2 linked regions of the Arabidopsis thaliana genome follow. The protein of the gene in region 1 interacts with the protein of each later gene in a pairwise test. Each region holds a gene or a part of one and is shown on either strand. Other genes may lie near its edges.

Evidence for each region. Proteins that work in one complex are often made in the same cells at the same time.
Region 2: the proteins of AT5G62610 (region 1) and HEC3 interact in binary tests that used the Arabidopsis thaliana proteins (3 or more experiments, as listed by UniProt).

Annotation. Positions count from the first base shown.
Region 1 is NC_003076.8:25,131,233-25,142,078, reverse strand, and holds AT5G62610 (basic helix-loop-helix (bHLH) DNA-binding superfamily protein), read left to right. Parts: upstream 1-6,013; 5' UTR 6,014-6,080; intron 6,081-7,172; exon of another isoform or gene 7,173-7,198; 5' UTR 7,199-7,478; coding exon 7,479-7,778; intron 7,779-8,093; coding exon 8,094-8,300; intron 8,301-8,382; coding exon 8,383-8,448; intron 8,449-8,529; coding exon 8,530-8,598; intron 8,599-8,669; coding exon 8,670-8,747; intron 8,748-8,836; coding exon 8,837-8,962; 3' UTR 8,963-9,231; downstream 9,232-10,846. Other genes in the region: AT5G62623 (Putative membrane lipoprotein), read right to left, coding at 817-1,025, 1,295-1,352; AT5G62620 (Galactosyltransferase family protein), read right to left, coding at 2,315-2,527, 2,620-2,727, 2,824-2,997, 3,091-3,219, 3,327-3,617, 3,720-3,964, 4,058-4,943; MOS14 (ARM repeat superfamily protein), read left to right, coding at 9,606-9,728, 10,299-10,376, 10,468-10,530, 10,757-10,804.
Region 2 is NC_003076.8:3,021,337-3,032,088, reverse strand, and holds HEC3 (basic helix-loop-helix (bHLH) DNA-binding superfamily protein), read left to right. Parts: upstream 1-4,974; 5' UTR 4,975-5,013; coding exon 5,014-5,688; 3' UTR 5,689-5,980; downstream 5,981-10,752. Other genes in the region: HAM2 (histone acetyltransferase of the MYST family 2), read left to right, coding at 7,378-7,684, 8,030-8,118, 8,221-8,280, 8,365-8,574, 8,841-8,909, 9,079-9,240, 9,321-9,414, 9,501-9,643 and 1 more. UniProt on the Arabidopsis thaliana protein: Required for the female reproductive tract development and fertility.

The DNA.
Region 1 (10,846 bases):
TAGAAGATAAATAAAGTAAAGCATTCATCCAATCAATTAAATTATTTCACTTTATAAGTATTATATTATTATACAGTGTAGATAGAATTCCATTAAAGAAGATTACACATATATATGAGTTTTATTTTTAATAAGTTAATAATATACATGAACTAAAACTCAGTTAATAACATTGTAATCTCTGGCTTCATTTTCTTAAAGTATATGAAAATACAATATCAGCCTATTTGAATGTTCTTATTTTAGTATGCAATCTTCTTTAGTGGAATTAGTGCATATTGATATTTTGTTGAAGAGCATTAAAATAAATACATAGTGATACTCTCTCAAGAGCTAGAAGATGGAGAATTTTGGATCCCACTCACATAAACCATAAAAGAAGAAATTTATTGACAAAATTTAGCGACCCATAAAAAGACGATAAGCAAATTGATTGGTGGAATGCCTAAAATTAACTTAAGATATATACTTCCTTTTTTTTTTGGAATTCCTATGTTCCTAAAAGATTGATGTTATAAATCTTTAATTTGTTCCACGAAGATTGATTTTTTTTTAATATATAATAAACTTCAAGGTACAATGATTAATTGTTTCATATTACACTATTGGTTCAAATTTATTAAAAAAATTAACATAAAAAATAATCGACAAATAATTAGATACTGATTATTATTTTTAATATTTTTGAGAATTCTAGATCATCAATCTTTTAGGAACATAGGGAGTAATAATCTTTGCATCAAACAACCCAAAATCAAATAAGATGTAAAAATAGTTTATGTAGTTATTTAATCATTATTACTGTTGTTATTAAAGTTACATATGCGATTCAACACCTAGATCTGATTGTTGATGGTAACAGTTTGAACAAATGCAAACTCCGTAGTTACATTTAGTGATAGTACAACCTGGACAATTTTCACGACAATTATCATCGTACTTGCAATACCATGTATGCGGTGTTTCATCTCTCACTTGTCCACTAACTTTTGATTCTCCTTCCAATGCTTTAGCTACCCATAAACCTAGCATGTACATATAAGAATAGTTGAAAAATAACCAATTTGATGCACTAATTTAAATTAGTGTCGATAGATTAAACGACTAAAATCCAAAAGAGATTCTTGTAGAATCAACTCAAAATGTAGATTATAAAAACAAAAGAAAAACAGTCAACTAGTATTTCTACCACGCAATTCAACTAAACCAGAATCAAGTTTGAGCATCAATTATGTTTTGAAAACTAAAGAACATAATAAAAGATTATGTATTTAAATTAAAATGATGGACTCACATGAAAGAGACAACAAAATGGCAAGAAGAACCACTTTCCTCAACACCATTTTCTCCATTTTGATGATACCGGTTCCAAATTTCTTTTACAGTTATTGAATCCAATTATGCAAAAATAAACACACCCAAACATACTTACATATATATATATATATATATCATTTTATATATGTGTATTTTGTTGCCAAGAATAGGAAACTATGTAAGATGAGGTTATTTTTTGCCAAAAACAAATATTTCAGACAAATATTATGATAAAAAATCAAACAAAAATAATTGTAGTAGATAACTATGAAAATAGCATAATTAAAATAAAAATGACTTCTCACAAAGTATTTTGGAATATTTTACTCCTTATTTAACTGTTATGAGACATGTTTGATTATTTTCTTCTATATGGACTTCTAATTTATAAAAAAAAATGCATTAAAAAAGGTTGTAAGTGAAAAGTTTTAAATTAGTCTTGGCAATTTTGGGTCAAGTCGAGAACACAATGTATGTGTTATTATATCTCTACCAATTCGCTGGTAGTGGAATTCACACTACCCACAAAAATGCCATACATCTATAGTCTGATCATTTATAGACCTTCTTAAAATTGGGCTTATATATATGGTGAAAAAGGTGCCGCAATATTAAACCGGTTCTAAAAATTTTATTAATTTTAAAAGATATGAGTGTTTTAATTATTGTTAAACATTTTTACACATTATTCTTATGATTCATTTTAACAAGAAATATTAATTCTTATTGAAGCTACGGCTTAGGAAGACCAAAACTCGTCGTTGGACAAAACTACGGTTTAGCAAAGGCTTTCATGGGCACATAATAAGTTTAAAGGAAAGAATGAATATTAATAGAGAATTCGACCAAAAGAAAACATCCATTTTAGATTCGTTACTAAAGATCAAAGATGATATAATACAACCGAAACTATATGCTATAAACTACTACCCAAAAAAAAAGAACTCTTCGGACTTCTATTTCCTTTTATAAACCAAAGAAAAGGATTTGGTATGTGTCATCTCATGTTGCAGCACTGAGGTTTGCCTGTCAACACCAGCTTATCCCACAAGCAAATCATCTGTCTCGGCGACTGATAATGCGCCGTCAAGTAATTCTCTATGCAACCAAACTGACAAAACCTGAGGCTGTGAATGTAGTCCACCGGTTTTGTACCATTGTTGAATTGTTCTACCCACATTCCCACGCTTACATCTTCCATTTTGAACATCTGTAGTATCAAGAATGAGAAAGAAAGGAAAAGGGTTATATAGATATGCATGGTCGGTTTTAAATTGAGTAGGTAATGGGAAATTCTCATACCCTTAATTTGTGTTTCTCAAACTCTTTCACGATAAAGCGAGATATATCGTTTGATAATATGTATCCGGGGCCATTAGCATAAGGTGGATAGTCTTCCTCTGGCCATTCCTGGCAAAGCAGATAATGTAACATTAACTTTTGAATTCATATGAGAAAAGAACAGATACAAATGATTCTTTAGGCAAAAAGATCATAGCTTTTTACCTCATATGTAACAGACCATTTACCCTGGCGAAGTGGTTTGTGATAATAATTGATGTTGCCAATGTATAGACTTCTATCTGTGGGTGTTTTCTTTGCTTCACTAAGAACCGCATCCACTTGTACAAATGTATCGTCATCACACTTCATGATGAATTTAGCTGCAAGTTGATGAGCCTGCAAAACAGAGAATAGAGAAACTCTTTACCTTATATTGAATAATTGAAAACACAACATCAAGTGTTGAATCTTTGAATCAGCGGGACTCACCCCGTACTCGCAAATTGCAACGGTTTTGAGGACGACAAGGTCATAACTGTCCATGTAAGGGACTATAACTATGTCCCCAAAGAATTCAGCTTCCTTCTTTAGCTCCACATTTACTTCTTTCCTTGAGTGCTGCCCAAATAAACATCTGAGTTTAGCTTGCAATTCGATATGAGAAGCTCTTACATTTTAACCTAGAAGACCAAGATCAGATCACTTGTAAATTAGTCTAAACTTACCAGTGCAACAAAGAACCGAGCCACTACTTTGGAAGATTTAACGAGTTTATGTTGCATCCACGACCTCCTCACAGCCATCCTCTCAGCAAAATGGTTACCAGCAGAAAGGATACCAATGAACATATCAACTTGCTCATCAGGAAGTGATGGGGCTTGCCAATTGCTCGAGAGCTCAAGATGCCTCTGAGGAGAAAAACTAGGATGCGAGGTTGGGAGAGAGCCAGCGAAAACAGAGTGAACATCTATGTCCCCGTTAATGGTTAGACCAGTAGCATCCTCAAGCGTAAATCCCTTCATATATTGCCAAGAAACCACGCACATAGACAACCATCAGTTCACACCAATCACTAATCAAACCACAACATGTTTAAGCCAGGGCAAAACATCACTTACAGTTCGGTATGGAAAGGAAGTGACATGCTTCCCATCGACACTAACATGGTAGCCTTCCAATCCAGCACTAAGAGTAAGCACGAAAAGCTTGTCAACTGTGAATGGAAATGGCCATTCAACAGTTACTTTCTTGCTCCGACCTATTAATCGACTAAGCCACCATGAAGCCGCCTTGCTAGACTCTTCTTCTTTAGATGTAATGCTATCATCCCGAGCCCATTTCTCGCACTTAACCTGACCATCAACTACAACCATTCTTACTAATTAGTATCCCCAACAAAAACACCAAGAAAAACAACAGATGAAAGATAAATGCTTTTGAACATATCTACACTAACCAGTCTCTTCATCATCCCTAGATCTCCATCCTTCACATCTTTGTGCTGAGCCCCATTGCATTCTATAGCAAGTGTTCTGCTCAATCACAGGCTTACCACTCCAATCACCCTTAAGCCTTGGATTCAAGTGGAGTATCCGAGGTGGCTCTTCTCCTTCCACTGCTTTCAAACCCTGAAGCTCCAACTTAAACTGTGAAACCTTCACAGCTTCATCTCCTTCCTTTAACATCGATATCTTAGGGTCCTTCTCCGAATGAGCAGCTCGTGGCTTCCCAACCACTGTAATATGTGACCCAAGAGTTAAACCACATGGAAGCTCCATGATATTCCCACGTTTCAAAAGATCAGACCCGGTTAAGGAAACAGAGAGAGAACACGAGTTTGTCCCATGTTCCTCAATCTTCTTCTTCTTCTCCTTCTCCAAAGCTTTCAACGTTTTCCCAGACTCAAGCTCTTCCCATATCTTTCGACCAACTTCCCAAGCTACCTTAGCAGATTTATGAAGCTCCACAGACCCATCTTTGCTACTCGGGTTAAACGTTTCCGGGTCGAATCTCAAACTAGAAAGGATCCGAGTCCTTCTTCTTAAACCCTGAGCCGGTGATTCCGATTGTGATTCCTGGTAAAGCAGACTCTTTAAAGGTCGAGTCGGAGCTCGTCTCTCTTGTAACTCTCTCTGACTATTGTGCTTCTCGGGTCGGGTTAACGGATCCTGAGATAAAGAACTAAGCCCGGTTTTGAAGACGAAAGGGATTTCGAATGTGATAAGAAGCATGTAGAGTAACCCAACCGCCATTAGTATCTGAACCGATCTCTGCTTGCTTAGAGAAACGAAAATGTCGAATTTCTCTAACCTCTCGAGTTTTGACAACTTGGGCTTCCTCATTCCTAAATTATACGAAGAAAAATCCAAACTTTTTTTTAACTGGAAACAGAAAACCCTAGTGATGATGATCAAAGAGGAACAGAATCTCAAAATTCAAAATTTCAAAAAACAAATAAAAATCAAATCTTGAGAGATTACGATGAACGGAGACAATCAGTAGATTGGTGGGTTACTATAAATTCTGAAAAACCCTTTGAACACGAAGAGAGAAAATTCAAGAACTTTCTATGGAAAAGACAAATCTTTAGTGAGAAAATTCAAAACCCGAAAGAAACGTAAAGTCGAAAATTTAAATCTTTAGAGAGACGTGTAAAATCGTAAGATGAACAGAAACGCGTCAGGAGAATTTGGAGAAGGAAGCAGCAAGGGGAAGAGTTAAAGCTCTCTCCTCTTTCTTAGTTAGTGCTGCTGACGTCTGAATAAACCGCCGTTTTGGTCCATCTCTCTCTCTCTCTTTTTCGAATCTTTTCTTCGCTTTTAAATCTTCTCTTTTTCCTTATTTTATTTAGTTTTCGATTAAAGTTATAGATTCGTTGGATTTATCTTTTCAAATTAAAGTAATTTTATTATTCTAGATGATTATTTCCACCACCAGTAGAATAAAAAGGAAAAACGTTATGTTTTTGTCGAATTTTAATCTTATAATTGAAGTAATAAGATTTTTAAGGTTAAGCAAATCGACCAAAAAAACAAATCGAAAAGGTTGTCTTGATTACACGAGACAGAATGTGAAATTATTAGTTAATTAGTACTATATGATTTATAAATTAAAAAAAAACAATAATAGTAGATGGAATCATATGTATTTGATTGTTTAGTAGATATGATTCTTATTTTGAAATTTAAACTATTATTGATTAATGTCTACTTAGTCGGTGCTAAATCGGCCAACTGTGTCATTCCATCACCAATGAAGTCACATAGTACTCCTATGCTCATGTTTTTATTTTTGACTTTTCTCTCTATTAATTTTCTTAATTTCATGACCAAACTGAAATGAACAGAAGAAATTGATAACAAAAAAATAGTGTTTCTTGTTTTTTTATTAGAGGTATCTTGATGAGTAGAGCAAAAAAGCTTTATGGGAAAAATGGAAAGAGAGGAATTGGGCTTCATGTGTGACACCTTTGCATCCAGGTGTCTTCTCTTTCTACACTTGTCTTTTCCACCTTTTCATTATTTCATCAAAATATAAACATATTCCACTTAATTCGATAATAAAATTAATAATTAAAAAAGTTTTGCAGAAAAACATCAATTTCTAATTTGTTGGTCTTTAAACAATTTTCTTGCTACACATTTAGAGCATTCAATGCTATAGAATTGACTTTTAAAAGTTTTAACTCAGTGAATAGTTTTAGAGCTTTTTTGTTTGTTATATACTGTATTCTTAAAAACGTTTGATATCTCTGTATTCATCATTCAAAAATACAAACTTTTATAATAAACACAACAAATGAAGGTTGAAATCATCGAAACGAAAAATGACACTCTTGGCTCCTTGTATTTTTCCGCAACTACCTTGAACATGTCATCTACCAAAAAGGCTAAAACTACATTGAACATAATAAAACTATAGCTTCTGAATTTTTAAAAATTTAACGTGAAGAACGTTGACATGCAAACAAAAAGACTAAAACACATGTCATCTATCCTTCATATTAGCGTTTTATATATTTAGCTAGAATTTTGGCTTTTGTGATTAAGCATTTAAAATTTAAATATATGGCCCATTGTCACATCCTCGATCGTATCCTACGTACCGGTGTGTGGTTCCCTTCACTTTACACAACTAACTTTCATAAAACATATGACTATGAAGTGGGAGATCTATGTTAAATAAAAAAACACTAATTGGTGAATATTATTGTAAACATAGGCGATCGAGTACTTACTAGGATGGACATATGGTACGAAGATCAAATTTTTAATCCAAACATATACGTTTTTTCCTTAAACACGTCAGAATGAAATTACCAAAGTAACATGATTTGGTTTTGCTAGTATGTATTTTTTTCTAAGAGAGATGCATTGTCCTTTGGTGTATTTAAGTTGTTCACAGTAAAATTACCAAAGTTGTTCACAGTAAAAAATAATTTAATCAAAGGATAACTAAAAGACATAATTGTGAGATTTTTATTTTTTATTTTTGATAGAAATTATTTAGGTTATTGCGCCATAATATATCTTTTCTATTCAATTTTGTTTCTAAACGAAACGAAAATTTTACCATTGTAATATTTTTTTTATAACAGAAACGGCAAAATATTTGATGTAAGCTGTGTAATTAATGAGATTTTCTGAAAGTATTGGTGATAAATCATCTTCCATTGCATACTAGTGGCGCATTATCACTACCCACATCTGTCTTACCTTCTCCGATCTCTCTCTCTATTTGTCCACCTCACACACAACCCTATAAACAAGACAAGACCTCGCAAAGCTCAAACCTTTTCCTTCTTTTTTTCTATCAAGTTCCTCACTTCTCGGATCCGGGTCCTAAATCTGGGTCAACCCTTTTTACGATCATCGGAAATGGACCCTCCACTAGTGAACGATTCCTCCTTCTCTGCAGCTAATCCTTCTTCTTACACTCTCTCCGAGATTTGGCCTTTCCCTGTAAACGACGCCGTTCGCTCTGGTCTCCGTTTAGCTGTTAACTCCGGTCGAGTCTTTACTCGCTCTGAACATTCCGGCAATAAAGACGTCTCCGCGGCTGAGGAATCTACAGTCACCGATCTAACTGCTGGCTGGGGAAGTAGAAAGACTAGAGATTTGAACTCTGAGGATGATTCTTCAAAGATGGTTTCTTCCAGCAGCAGTGGTAATGAATTGGTGAGATTTTGCACTTCAATTTTTGAAAAGTCCTGATTTTTATTTGTTGGGTCTTTTGAATGTTTGAATCTAGATCCTTTAGCTTGGTGGTGATCTAAAAATCAATGAGTCAAAGTTTAAGTCTTTGGTTTAGGGATCAAGGATTAGTTTATAGATTAGATGACTTATCTCCATTGACTTTTTGACTTAAGTTGGATTCAGCTTGAAGACCATTAGTTTGATAGATGTTGGAATGGTCAATGCTTACTTAGTGATCTTAGATTGAGAGTTTGATTTAGGATCTTAAAGCTTTCCATCTGTTTACTTTTTTAATAGAAAGAATCAGGGGATAAGAAAAGAAAACTGTGTGGATCTGAAAGTGGAAATGGAGATGGTTCGATGAGACCTGAAGGCGAAACAAGTTCGGGTGGTGGTGGAAGCAAAGCAACGGAACAGAAGAACAAACCTGAGCCACCAAAGGATTATATTCATGTGAGAGCAAGAAGAGGACAAGCTACTGACCGGCATAGTTTAGCAGAGCGAGTAATTCTTCTGCTAAAATCACCATAAATTTTATCCTCAAAAACTGTTCCTTTTATTAGAATCACAATGTTGTCTTTGACAGGCTAGAAGAGAAAAGATCAGTGAGAAGATGACAGCTCTTCAAGATATAATTCCAGGATGTAATAAGGTACATGTTCTTTTGGTCCCTGCTTGTGAATGATGTTATTATAGCCTAAAAAACATTCAACAAGATATTTCTGTTGATCAGATAATCGGAAAAGCCCTTGTGCTCGATGAGATTATCAATTATATTCAGTCATTGCAGCGGCAAGTTGAGGTAAAAGTCGTTAACACCTCTCTGTTATATGTTACAATTATACATGCCTAAGCATGGAGTTTGGTCTGCAGTTTCTATCAATGAAGCTAGAAGTTGTTAACTCGGGTGCAAGTACTGGTCCGACAATAGGAGTTTTTCCTTCCGGTGATGTAAGTCCCAAATCTAAAAGAACATAGAAAAATCTTATCTTTCTTAATCAAAGCTACTAAATCTAAAAGCTCTTGGTGTGTTGTATCAGCTCGGGACTTTACCGATTGACGTTCATCGAACAATATACGAGCAACAAGAAGCTAATGAAACCCGAGTATCTCAACCGGAGTGGCTCCATATGCAGGTTGATGGGAACTTTAACCGAACCACATAAAAAAGAGTCTTTCTCTGATTGATGGATGTGTTTTGTAGGCAGTAAAAATGAATGCAACCCTTTATTTTTTATCCTATGCGTGTGTATCATTTTGCTGTTATATCATAAGATAGAATATGAGAGTGACCAGAGAGATTAACACTTTATAAAACATTGTTGTATTGTCCTATTATATAACTTGTAACAATTGATTCAGTAACATATGTTGGTCTTAAATCTTGTCCTTTGTATAATCTTTATGTTATGATGAATCAATGATACGTTTTTTTTGTTGTCTTCAATTTATTGCAACAACTGAAAAAAAGTAAACAACTTCTGTCTTCAAAATAAAAGAAGAAGGATTTGACTTTAAGTCAAAGTAATTGTATCTAACGGCTGAGATTCTCTCTTCTTCATCCTCTTTCAGATCAAAATTCGATCTCTATCTCTCTTCCTCACTCAAGTTGAGGGGCGCCAAAAAAAAACCTTTTTGACAAAGAGGGAAAAAAAAAGTTTTTATTTTTATTGTTTTTGTTGGGCGAAATCGATTTGACAAAATCCCGAATTTCAGTTGGGCAAATTCTTCTATTTCTCAATCTGGGTCTTTCTCTCTGGTCGTGATTTGGTGACCGTACGAGCGAATAACGCGTAAAGATTCATAGCTATGGAGCATCAGAACGCGGTCAAAGAAGCCCTAAACGCACTGTATCATCACCCGGATGATACAGTGCGTGTGCACGCTGATCGCTGGCTTCAGAACTTCCAAGGAACTCTCGATGCTTGGCAGGCGAGTTTTTTCTTTTCGATTTCAATTATTTAATCTCGATTTGTTTAGGTTCGATTTGTTCTTCCTTGTTTTGTAGCACTTGTGCTAGAGTTTAATGTTCGATTTTCAGCTACTGTAGACCATATAGGTGCATAAAGTTTCATCCTTTAGTCAATTTGTATTAGTGATTTGCTCTTTAAGGTCATATAGGCTTATGCATAGCAGAAATCTCAAAATTTCAGTACGTCTAAGTTCATTTCTGAGTTACTTTAGACTATATAAGTGCATAAATTTTCATCCTTTAGTCAATTTGTATTAGCGATTCGCTTGTTAAGGTCATATAGGCTTATGCATAGCAGAAATCTCGAATTTTCAGTACATCTAAGTTCAATTGTGCACTTTTTCCTGTAGCTGGTTTGAGAAGTATGTGTAAGGTGTGTGAATAGATTTACCTTGTTAGAGAAACGATTAGCTAGGTTTTATATGAGCTCTTTTCTTTTAGACCCATGATTGTTGTTGCGGAGAAGAGGATTTTTTTTGATGGAGAAGTTCTACAATATTTCTTACTCTGTGCTGTTGTATGTTTTCTAGGTTGCGGATAATTTACTTCATGATTCTTCTAGCAATTTGGAAACTTTGATATTCTGTTCTCAGACCCTTCGAAGCAAGGTAAATGCACCTGAATGTTTCTGTAAATCCTTATTCATTTATCACACAATCTTGGAGCATTCTGGTGACATCTAGTCTGTCTCACTCGAAGGTTCAACGAGATTTTGAAGAACTACCACCTGGGGCTTTTCAGAAGCTACGGCAATCATTAACGGTAATTCTTTGTTCTATTAACTATTTCTTCCAAAGTTGTAGGGTTTCATGAGTTATTCATTAGTATGTCTGTTCCTTTGAGCAATAACATAATAGGAAAACTCAGTTGAACTAGAGTATTCTGGGATCTAGGTTTTACTATGATTTCATCTTTCTGGCCTATTATTCTTGGTATTGGACAATTACTTCCCGGAAAATTTTGACTTTCATTATTTTCTCAAATGCAGACATTGTTAAAAAAGTTCCACAAGGGCCCTCCAAAAGTTAGGACCCAGGTAAGTGCATATGTGGAATTTTCTGTTGTGCGTATAAAGTCA
Region 2 (10,752 bases), about 22 Mb from region 1:
TAAGACCCCGGTTATGTATTGGTTTAATGTGTTTAGGTCCGTCTCACGCTATTGATCTTGATTCTTGACTTGCGGTTGGTAATTGTTGTTTTCTTAGTTTTTCTTTTTTTTTCATTTTTCCTAATATCGAATTATTGTTTATTTTGTTTTTGGATTCTTATTTTATACTCCCTCTGTTCCTAAAAGAGTGATGTTTTGGGTTTTTCACACAAAGAAAAGTAATTTTTATATTATTTATATTATTTTCTGTTAATTTAATAATATAAGTCTTATTTCTCTCCTCTCTCTATTGGTTATTAACAAAAATAATAATATTATTAACCTACAACATCAATCTTTATGAAACAAAAATAAAATCTAAAACATCAAATTTCATGGAACAAAGGGAGTATACGATTAATAGTCTAATTTTAGTAAGCAATCGGCTCCAAACACTAATCTGGAGATTAGAATATATGTTGATTTGGTTAGGTTTGGTATTAGCAAACACTATATCACCAGTTTCAAGACTCTTATGTCTATTCTGCAATTACAGATTTTATACATATAAATGTAGTTAAAATTTTGAATTTTTGTTTATAATATACTAAACTTGTAAATTTTAAAATCTAACTTGATTGGAGGTTATATCTTTAGTTAATTTGATAATTACATTTAAATCTCAACGTAAATTATCAAACGTTAAACTAGAAAGAAATCTGAAGGATGTTAGAAATAAACTAGTTTCAACAAAAATAACCTAATTTTTTTGATTTCATAATGAATACCAAATAGGCAATTACATACTAAAATCTCTGAAATCATTTATCTCATAAGTTTTTATATCCAACATGTTTGGTATATGTATATATTTTTGGTCTAAAATAACATAACCAGATGTTTGTAGCGGCCCATATTTTTGGCTCGTATAAGCCCACTAAGATGGATTCTGCACCTTTGCCAATGACCCAATAAAATAACTTAGGGCTTTAAGGTTCCAAACCCACAATTACCATCCTCAGGTAAGTCGGGGGCTCGGGGCCAGGTATGAATTAGTCCAAATCCCCAAGTTTAGACAACCGATTTTGAGAAGAATGTTGTTTTCCTTTACGATTTGGATGTTATATCTTCTCTTGTTTAATGTTTTCTTTTCTTTCTTTTTTTTTTCAAAAAATTTGGTGTTACTAACATATTGACTAATTAATATTATTTATTACAAATCCGTTGTAGTCTAGCTGGTCAGGATACTCGGCTCTCACCCGAGAGACCCGGGTTCGAGTCCCGGCAACGGAGATTTATTTTTACTAATTACAGACAAAATTTACCCAATCCTAGCAGGGAACATGACTGATGTTCCAACTAATTACAGGTTTTTGGTTATATATATGTTTTATTCTGTCCCAATTCTTATACTCTTTGGATTTCAAAAATGTTCGGTTTTACTAGGACTTGTACTGTAATTTAAGACGAGTGGGATCACATGCCTCTAAGTAAAATGTGTTAAATTAATTTAATCTAGTAAAAAAAATCATCTGAAATTGGCTAAATTGTTCTTTACTTGAAAAAAAAAAAAAACTGTTCTTTCACTGTCCCCACTCACGATGATTCAATTACCCTGCATGCTCATAAACCTGAGCTAAGGAATTCCTTTTTATAGAAAAATGCTTATCGTCGAACAAAATGTTGATCAGTGGATGTTGGAAAAAAAAGAATGTTCATTAGTGGATATATTAATCGTTGAATGTTAAAATATTCATCAAAACATATAATTGATTGAGTCTATTTGGTTTTTTGTTAAATGAGTCTACTGTCTACTTCTCGTGTATGTAGCTACAATACGGCATTATGCGTCTATGCATGGATACTGGAAATACGTTTGTACCTGCAATAATCCAAGAAAATGAAAACCCTCGAAGTCAATTTCATATGTGTAATATTCTTCCCCTCAAAAACAAAAGAGAAAGAAAAATAAAGTGAAAAACTCATTAAAGAGTTTTCCATAACACTAACACTTTCGGACCAAACAAGAGACTTCTTCACTTTTCTTCACTGCAGCTTCCCATGCCTTGTAATCACTTTTTTGTAGACTTTTTAGATCCTCTCGCGAAAGAGAAAAAATAAACATGTTTTTTTTTTTTGCTACTCCATTTTAAAAAACTTAGCATCATTACTAATATTATAACACATAATCTACCCTCGTAGTTATAGAAATCAATACAATAACGCATATATATCCTACCTTTTTCGTCTAGCTTTATTTTTCTTAACTTGATATATAGCCAATTTGAAATTTTATTTTTGGATGAATTAAGCCAAGTGGTGAACTGGTGATTACTTATACATTTTCTTTTTTGGTTTGATCATTTTTAATGACCAAACCTAACCGGTGAAATTGGAGTAAGATAAAGTGATATCACTAGATTACAAAGTGTTCAAATTTGGAAAGAAACAACACTGAGTTTTTCTTTGTTTGTTCTTCTCCATGGTGGAAGCAGAAAGAGGAAATCCAAAAAAGAAAGAAAAAGAGAAGTCGCTGTAAGAGACCAGACTCTGAGGAAATGAGGGTGTGGTTCTTTGGGAATCGTAACGCACAAAGACGGAAGATTGTATCGCTATTAATAAAAAGGAGGAAGAAGCACAATTGCTGAAAAAAATAGTTATATATGTATGGCCTATATATATATATAGTTATTTAATGCTTTTTTATGTACGCGATAATTTGGATGAAAATAATGGAGATTGTCAGATTTTATGATTCAATCTTCATCGGAAAATGTTGCATAGTTATTTCACCCACTCACGTGTATATGTACTATATACATTTACACTAGATTCATCTAGTTAGGGTTTACGGTTACACTTTATACACAGACGAAATGGGGGCCGCTTGAGCTGTCACATGTTTAAACCATATCATAATAGATAAGCTAGTGATAATTTGCTTAAAAGAAAACATGATTTAGTAAATCAATTGCATTCAATTTTTGTTTATTACAACTCGGTATACATTTCGAAACATATTATACAAGCTTTATAAACCATTATGATATTTCACATCACAGTTGCAGAAATGTACATACAACCAAAAAGGAAAAAGTAATAATAAAATACTATATGTATTCTAAATGAAATCATAGATTTAAGAAGTAAATTAAATTTATGTGTCTTATATATTCTATTATTTTACATGTTTTTGTGGAAATTTAGAAACTAGCTGTCCAAAATGAATCATTTAACTTTCACATGTATGAAAAATATTAATAGACTTAATTAAAAAACACTCTAAATTTATGATCAGGCAATAAAAAAATTGTTCATTGCTCCAATCCATCCGAATTTGTATTATATAAAATACATGGCAAAATAAAACTTCTTTTAACTAAACTATATTATATTATAAGTCTTGCTCATGACTGTTATATACTTTAATAATATGATCGAATGCTAGCTATTATATTAAATACACAGTTACTCTTTTAATTGCGGTTTTCATTTTAAACCGCTATAAATGCGAAAACTATATAGTGTATACTTATATCGAATCAAATTAATTTCCAAAACTTGTGTGTGTATAAGTAGATGTTCATACATGTAGTTGGCAGTTGGGTGGATTTAATAAGAATATAATATACAGTGAACAATGGATTAATACCAAAGAAGTAACCCTATAATGCATGATTGCAGCCTGCATGCGCAATTTGTATGATTATAATGCAGACCAAATCATAACATATGTGCAAAATATACGCTTATATCTCATATATGTACATATACATGTGTATTTATACATTGCTTTTGTGTTGAGGCATATGACATAAGAAACTTGTCACATTAAATCAGAACCGTCTGATTTTTGTATAAACGGATCGAAACAACGTATATAAATTTGCCTCTTTTGAAGTCTCATAAAATTTCGTGTATTTTACGGATTTGTGTTTGTTTTATACACTTGTATACAAGAACGTTGTTACGTAGATGTGAACTTTGTTAATAAAAAGCAGAAATTGCTTCATGGAAAATGATATATTCACCACCGTCTTATATAAACGAGTCACGACGATGATACACGTCTTTCTTATTAATGACAATCATGGATAACACCCAAATGTTGAAGAAGCTAAGGTGTCCCCATGCGAGTGATTTGATGTTTGTTATCCTTATAAACCTTTAATCACGTCGCAAGTTATAGAATAGCTTTGTGGAAAAAAGCAAGTTGATCATTTGTTTTATAATAATATATAACATTGCGAGTTTCACACACAATTTACATTCAATATTGGACTCCATCGAGGGGAGAGAGAAAATCACGACCGTTGATCGGGATAAGAGTATAGGATCAACAAAATGTGCTATTTCGTGAAGAGACAAGAGAATGAGAGAAAATTTATCAAGATTTCCTATTTTAGTGAATGGGTTTTGTGAAGAGAGAAGGAGATAATTAAAGGGATTGTAAATTGAGAAGTCAGAATAAGAGCACACAAGTGGTGACATCTTTTGTGAATCAAAGAGAAACTCATGTTCATATAAAGTAATTCACATTCTTATAGCTAGTGGTTATTAGTTTATTACTTTGGTGAAAGCCACTTTCTCGATATACCCTAAATTCAAGTCTCAATGTGGGAGAGGGAAACCCTAGCCAACTCAAAACTATCTCATTAGTCAACTGGAGCTGCTCATTAAAAAAAAAAAAAAAAAAGCGATTATGCCAACTATATGTATACAAAAGTGCTACAACGTTTATAAACATTTTCGGAGCATAAAAAAACTTCTTATTCAACTATATACAATTTAATCTTTTTCTTTGGTAACGACTAGTGACGTCCACTTATTGAAAAGATACATATAAATAAAATTATTCTTTATTTTTTCTCCGAACCAAAATCCTTAATTGCATCACCAACCTAACCCCTCATCATATGATCACCTTTCTTTTTTTCCTTTAATATATATATATGCTCACACACACACATATATATATACATATAAGCATCGCCTCAAGCATTAAAATTTTTACGAACCAAACAAACAAAAATTATGAATAATTATAATATGAACCCATCTCTCTTCCAAAATTACACTTGGAACAACATCATCAACAGCAGCAACAACAACAACAAGAATGATGATCATCATCATCAACATAATAATGATCCAATCGGTATGGCCATGGACCAGTACACACAGCTCCATATCTTCAATCCTTTCTCTTCTTCTCATTTCCCTCCTCTCTCTTCTTCCCTCACAACCACCACTCTTCTCTCCGGAGATCAAGAAGACGACGAAGACGAAGAAGAACCTCTAGAGGAACTCGGTGCTATGAAGGAAATGATGTACAAGATCGCAGCCATGCAATCGGTTGACATCGACCCAGCAACCGTCAAGAAACCCAAACGCCGTAACGTGAGGATCTCCGACGACCCTCAGAGTGTGGCGGCTAGACATCGCCGTGAGAGAATCAGTGAGAGGATCAGAATTCTTCAGAGACTCGTGCCAGGTGGCACTAAAATGGATACGGCTTCAATGCTCGATGAAGCTATACGCTATGTCAAGTTCTTGAAACGGCAGATCCGGCTACTCAATAATAATACCGGATATACTCCTCCGCCGCCGCAAGATCAAGCTTCTCAGGCGGTGACGACGTCATGGGTTTCACCGCCACCACCGCCAAGTTTCGGCCGTGGGGGAAGAGGAGTAGGAGAATTAATCTAGACAAGATGACATTTCCATTAGTAGTAACTAAATTATGCTATAATGTGTGAGTAATGGTGCAATTATGGAAAGTGTTTATATATAATAAAAATGGATACGAAATAAGGGTTTGTTAGGATATATAATATATTGTTGTTGACCGTGAAAAGGTTGTGGAATAATCATAACGGTTAGCTTGAGTTGTGTACCACCATATATTTAATATTATGTTATCATTTCGTATATAATAATAAGTTCTTGATTTGGAGTTTGGTTGTATACAAGTTTTGGCCGGGCATTTTTCGGGCATAAGAACCATGACGCCATCAAAGAACCCTATTTAAATAGTGTTATCATTACTGTGGACTTTTGTCTTTGTATACACACAACGCATATATTTGTGAAGTACTATATTTTAGAGCATATAATATGAATGTACTCTATTGCTTCATTTTCATCTTTTTACGTACATACCTCACTTTGAACGTTAATACCTATACATATTGAAAATCGTTTTGTTATGATTAGAATAAGCTTTAAGAATTCCTAAATTACAATAAGCTTTAGGGCTTTTTTTTTAATATATAGCTTCACAACTAGCAACGAAAAATCCAAAAAGAAAAAAGTTGTTATGAAAATAATATCCGTACGTTTAGTCTATTAGATTATACTTGTTAGTATCCGATTAAACATCACCTGAAAACTAAAAAGTCTAACAGACTAAACGTATCCGATTATACTTGTTGTAAAAATGTTAACGAAAAATGTTTAGCTATAGTAACGTTTAGCATAATGAAAATTACGACAATCATCCCATAAAATGATGTTTTGTAATATAAAGTAATCTCAAATTACAACAAACCGATAAGGTATACAGATACTCTACTCCAGAAAGAGAGTATATATCGAGACATATTATAAAGAGGATGGTGCAGAGAAAATGTACTTGCTCGTTTTGTCTTCGAATTAATGAATAGAAGTTCAACTAAAACAGTTGCAAGATCTCTTTTTACCTTCCCAATAATAAAAAGAAAACCTTTGACTACAAACAAGCATTAAACCACCAGAGCTTTGCTCCACACTTGTTGGTCAGAAAATCTCAGAAAAGTAGCAGAGAGGTTAATTCAAGGAAACCTATGCTCCTTGTTCACTTCACTCATGGATACTTCCGCTGACTTTTGTGTCTCCTCACATTCATAGGTTTTAATAAAGACACAATGAAATGTCAGTGAGATTCATGGAAACCTAGCTATATCCATTTTGCTAACGAAATCATTTAATATATTTTCTTTCTTTTTGCCACATAGTTATACATTCATTCACATCCTAGAGATAATTGCAAGAACTTAACGTCTAACCAAATTATTTAGCTCAAACAATGCATTAATAGTCACTAAATAGCCATGGGTATGATTCATATATTTTCAAATCTAATTCGTTTTACTACAGAAATATTTCAATGTGATTCGAGATAATTCTTACATGATCAAACAACTTTCTAATTTTATGAATAAACTGTGATCCCGGTGAAAATGTATGTACTTCACACCATTAAATATCAATATTTTTAACGGCCCATAAATATAGGCCCAATTATGTGAAAAGTTACTAATGGGCCTGATTTATTTCAAGTGTCCGTTTTTCTCTCTCTAGTTCTCTTACTCGTATGAGAAAGAAAGCCCACCCGGGAATCTCCGACCCGACCGAGAAATGGGATCGTCAGCGAATACAGAAACCAACGGCAACGCACCGCCACCGTCGTCGAATCAAAAGCCTCCGGCTACGAACGGCGTTGATGGGTCTCATCCTCCTCCTCCTCCTTTAACTCCTGATCAAGCTATTATAGAGTCGGATCCGTCGAAGAAGAGGAAAATGGGGATGCTTCCTCTAGAAGTGGGTACTCGTGTGATGTGTCGGTGGAGAGACGGGAAACACCATCCGGTGAAAGTAATTGAGCGCCGGCGGATACATAACGGCGGTCAAAATGATTACGAGTATTACGTTCATTACACTGAGTGTATGTCGTTTAATTCCTTATCAAGTTTTGATGTAGGGTTTTCAATTTTGGTTGATTCGTACTGTTGAGCTTCACAAAGGTGGAAATTTAGTCAAGGGTTTATAATGTAGGAAGAAAAAAGAGTTAAATTGCAAGACTTTATCAATTGGATCATTGGAATTGGCTTCAAGTTGTGTGAGATTTTTGAGAAGGAGATCAAATTCTGCATTATACTTTGCTTCTAAAGATTTTGAACCATTTATACTATTGTGATTAAGCTGAGTAATATGATGACAAAGTTGGTGATTTTGAAATCTTATGATCATCAATGTGTTTGATTTTGGTAATTTGTTTTCGAAACTGCAGTTAATAGGAGGCTGGATGAATGGACTCAGCTGGACCAACTGGACCTTGATTCAGTAGAGTGCGCTGTAGATGAAAAAGTGGAAGACAAGGTGCGTTCTCTAGTTTTGTATTGTTAGTTGCATAATGTGGATTTCATGAGTTTTCTCATATACGTTTAGCAATGAGCAGAGATTTATGTCTGTGGTTTCTAGGTAACAAGCTTGAAGATGACACGTCACCAGAAGAGGAAGATCGATGAGACACATATAGAGGTAATGAATGCCAATATAAGGCGGGTCCTGGAAACGTAAGGTTTGTGTTGATTCAGTATTCTGTGTTTCGAAATGTTTTTATAGGGTCATGAAGAGCTGGATGCAGCAAGTTTGCGTGAACATGAAGAGTTCACGAAAGTGAAGAACATATCAACAATTGAGCTTGGAAAATATGAGATTGAGACTTGGTACTTCTCCCCTTTTCCGCCAGAATACAATGACTGTGTGAAGCTCTTTTTTTGTGAGTTTTGCCTGAACTTCATGAAACGCAAAGAGCAGCTTCAAAGGCATATGGTGAGCAACTGTTTTTCTTTATCTTTGAAGTCTTATGATGCTTTTTAATTACATTTCCATTGCGAGCTTCAATAGTCTGGTTTCACATCTGTATTCTATGTTTTTGCATTCCAGTTTCATTGCTGAAGATAGTACCCAACCTTTCAGATTCTGTTGAATATTGTCACTGACTTGCATATCCACATTCACGGTTCATTAAAGTTGCATTTATATGGTTTTATTTTATCTTGTAGCTTTTGTATAATTTCCTTACTTTTTTCCTGCAGAGGAAGTGTGACCTGAAGCACCCACCTGGTGATGAAATTTACCGAAGTGGTACCTTGTCAATGTTTGAGGTAATATCCTGAGATAGGTCTCTGGTCTTCTTGCTCTGGATATGATGTATCGTTAGCTTTCTCTTATGTTTTTTTTTTTCGTATATGGATGCTGATTAGTTTATCTCTCATCTGGTTATGTTCTACATTAGCAGGAACGTTTTTCTCTAACCGTACTCTCATCTTACAGGTAGATGGCAAAAAGAACAAGGTTTATGCACAGAATCTCTGCTACCTGGCAAAGTTATTTCTTGACCACAAAACTCTTTACTACGATGTTGATTTGTTTCTATTCTACGTTCTTTGCGAATGTGATGACCGAGGATGCCACATGGTTGGGTACTTTTCAAAGGTAATATAGCAAAGTAGTTACATATATGTTTGGTTTCCATTTTCCTGTTTGCTCATAAACGTAACTTCTACTGGGTCCAGGAGAAGCATTCGGAAGAAGCATACAACTTAGCTTGCATTCTAACCCTGCCTTCATATCAAAGAAAAGGCTATGGAAAGTTCTTAATAGCCTTTTGTAAGTTCTTTGCCCATTTGACCCTTTTGCTCTTCTCAATCCCATGTCCACAAAAATAAGTAACAGATTGTTCTTCTGAGTTGCAGCCTATGAACTGTCAAAGAAAGAGGGAAAAGTTGGGACACCGGAAAGACCCTTGTCGGATCTAGGCTTACTAAGCTACAGAGGTTATTGGACTCGTGTTCTATTAGAAATCTTGAAAAAACATAAGGGAAACATTTCTATCAAGGTTAGATTGTGTTTCAAACTGATAAAAAGTCTTAGGCTAATCCTGGTTTCTGCGATCTAAGAATCCACTCATCTGTCTCTGTTTCATGTATGATGATGTAGGAGCTGAGCGACGTGACAGCAATCAAAGCGGAAGATATATTAAGCACACTTCAGAGCCTAGAACTGATACAGTACAGGAAAGGACAGCATGTGATCTGTGCGGATCCAAAGGTTCTGGACCGACATCTGAAAGCTGCAGGCCGAGGTGGTCTTGATGTAGATGCTAGCAAACTGATTTGGACACCTTACAAGGACCAGAGTTAAGAGTAAGTACACTCCTCTTGTGCCATTGGATTTGATTTGAGTGTGTAAGTAAAGCGGGCTGTCTTATTCTCCTGAAATGTAAGTGTACTTTACTTGTAAATGTTGAAATCGTACTTGGAATGGTGTTTGTTTACAACTCTTATAATGAGGAAATTTGAAGCAATTTCATAGGTCCATCTTTCTTTTGCTAGTATGTATGTGATCATTTGTATTTAGTATATATATATATATATATATATAAGCCTTAGTTGTTTCAAATGCATATATTTGCATTTTCTGTTGCGGTTTTGTGTGAAAATGTTATGTTCATAATCACAAGATACATTGTTGACAAATATATCAAACATATTTTTCAACTAGTAAACGATATAGTATAGCAAACATAAAAACAAGGTTGGACAAAAATGAAATAGTTGCAAGTTATTGAATCAAATATTCAAATGTGCGTAAACAAATGTTTCACAACTTAGAAACCGTAAAAGTTGGAATCTCTGAATCTAACGCAACATTGTCTGCGAAATTTGGCCAAGATATGAACTAGGTGACATAGTATTTTGGTTTATGATTACAAGAAACGTTGATAAACAATCAGTTCAGAATCTGTCTCTTTTACAATATGTTGTAATTTTATAGAAAATGTCAAAATGATGTTGATATTCCACGATAAAGCCAACTCAAAAATGTCGATTATTCAGTCCACATCATCATTCATGACCACCGAACCTACACTTTTGGTATTAGGTTTATTGGTGCCAATGTGGTCCATATTCCATAGTTAACATTTATGTATGTATTTCACTTCTT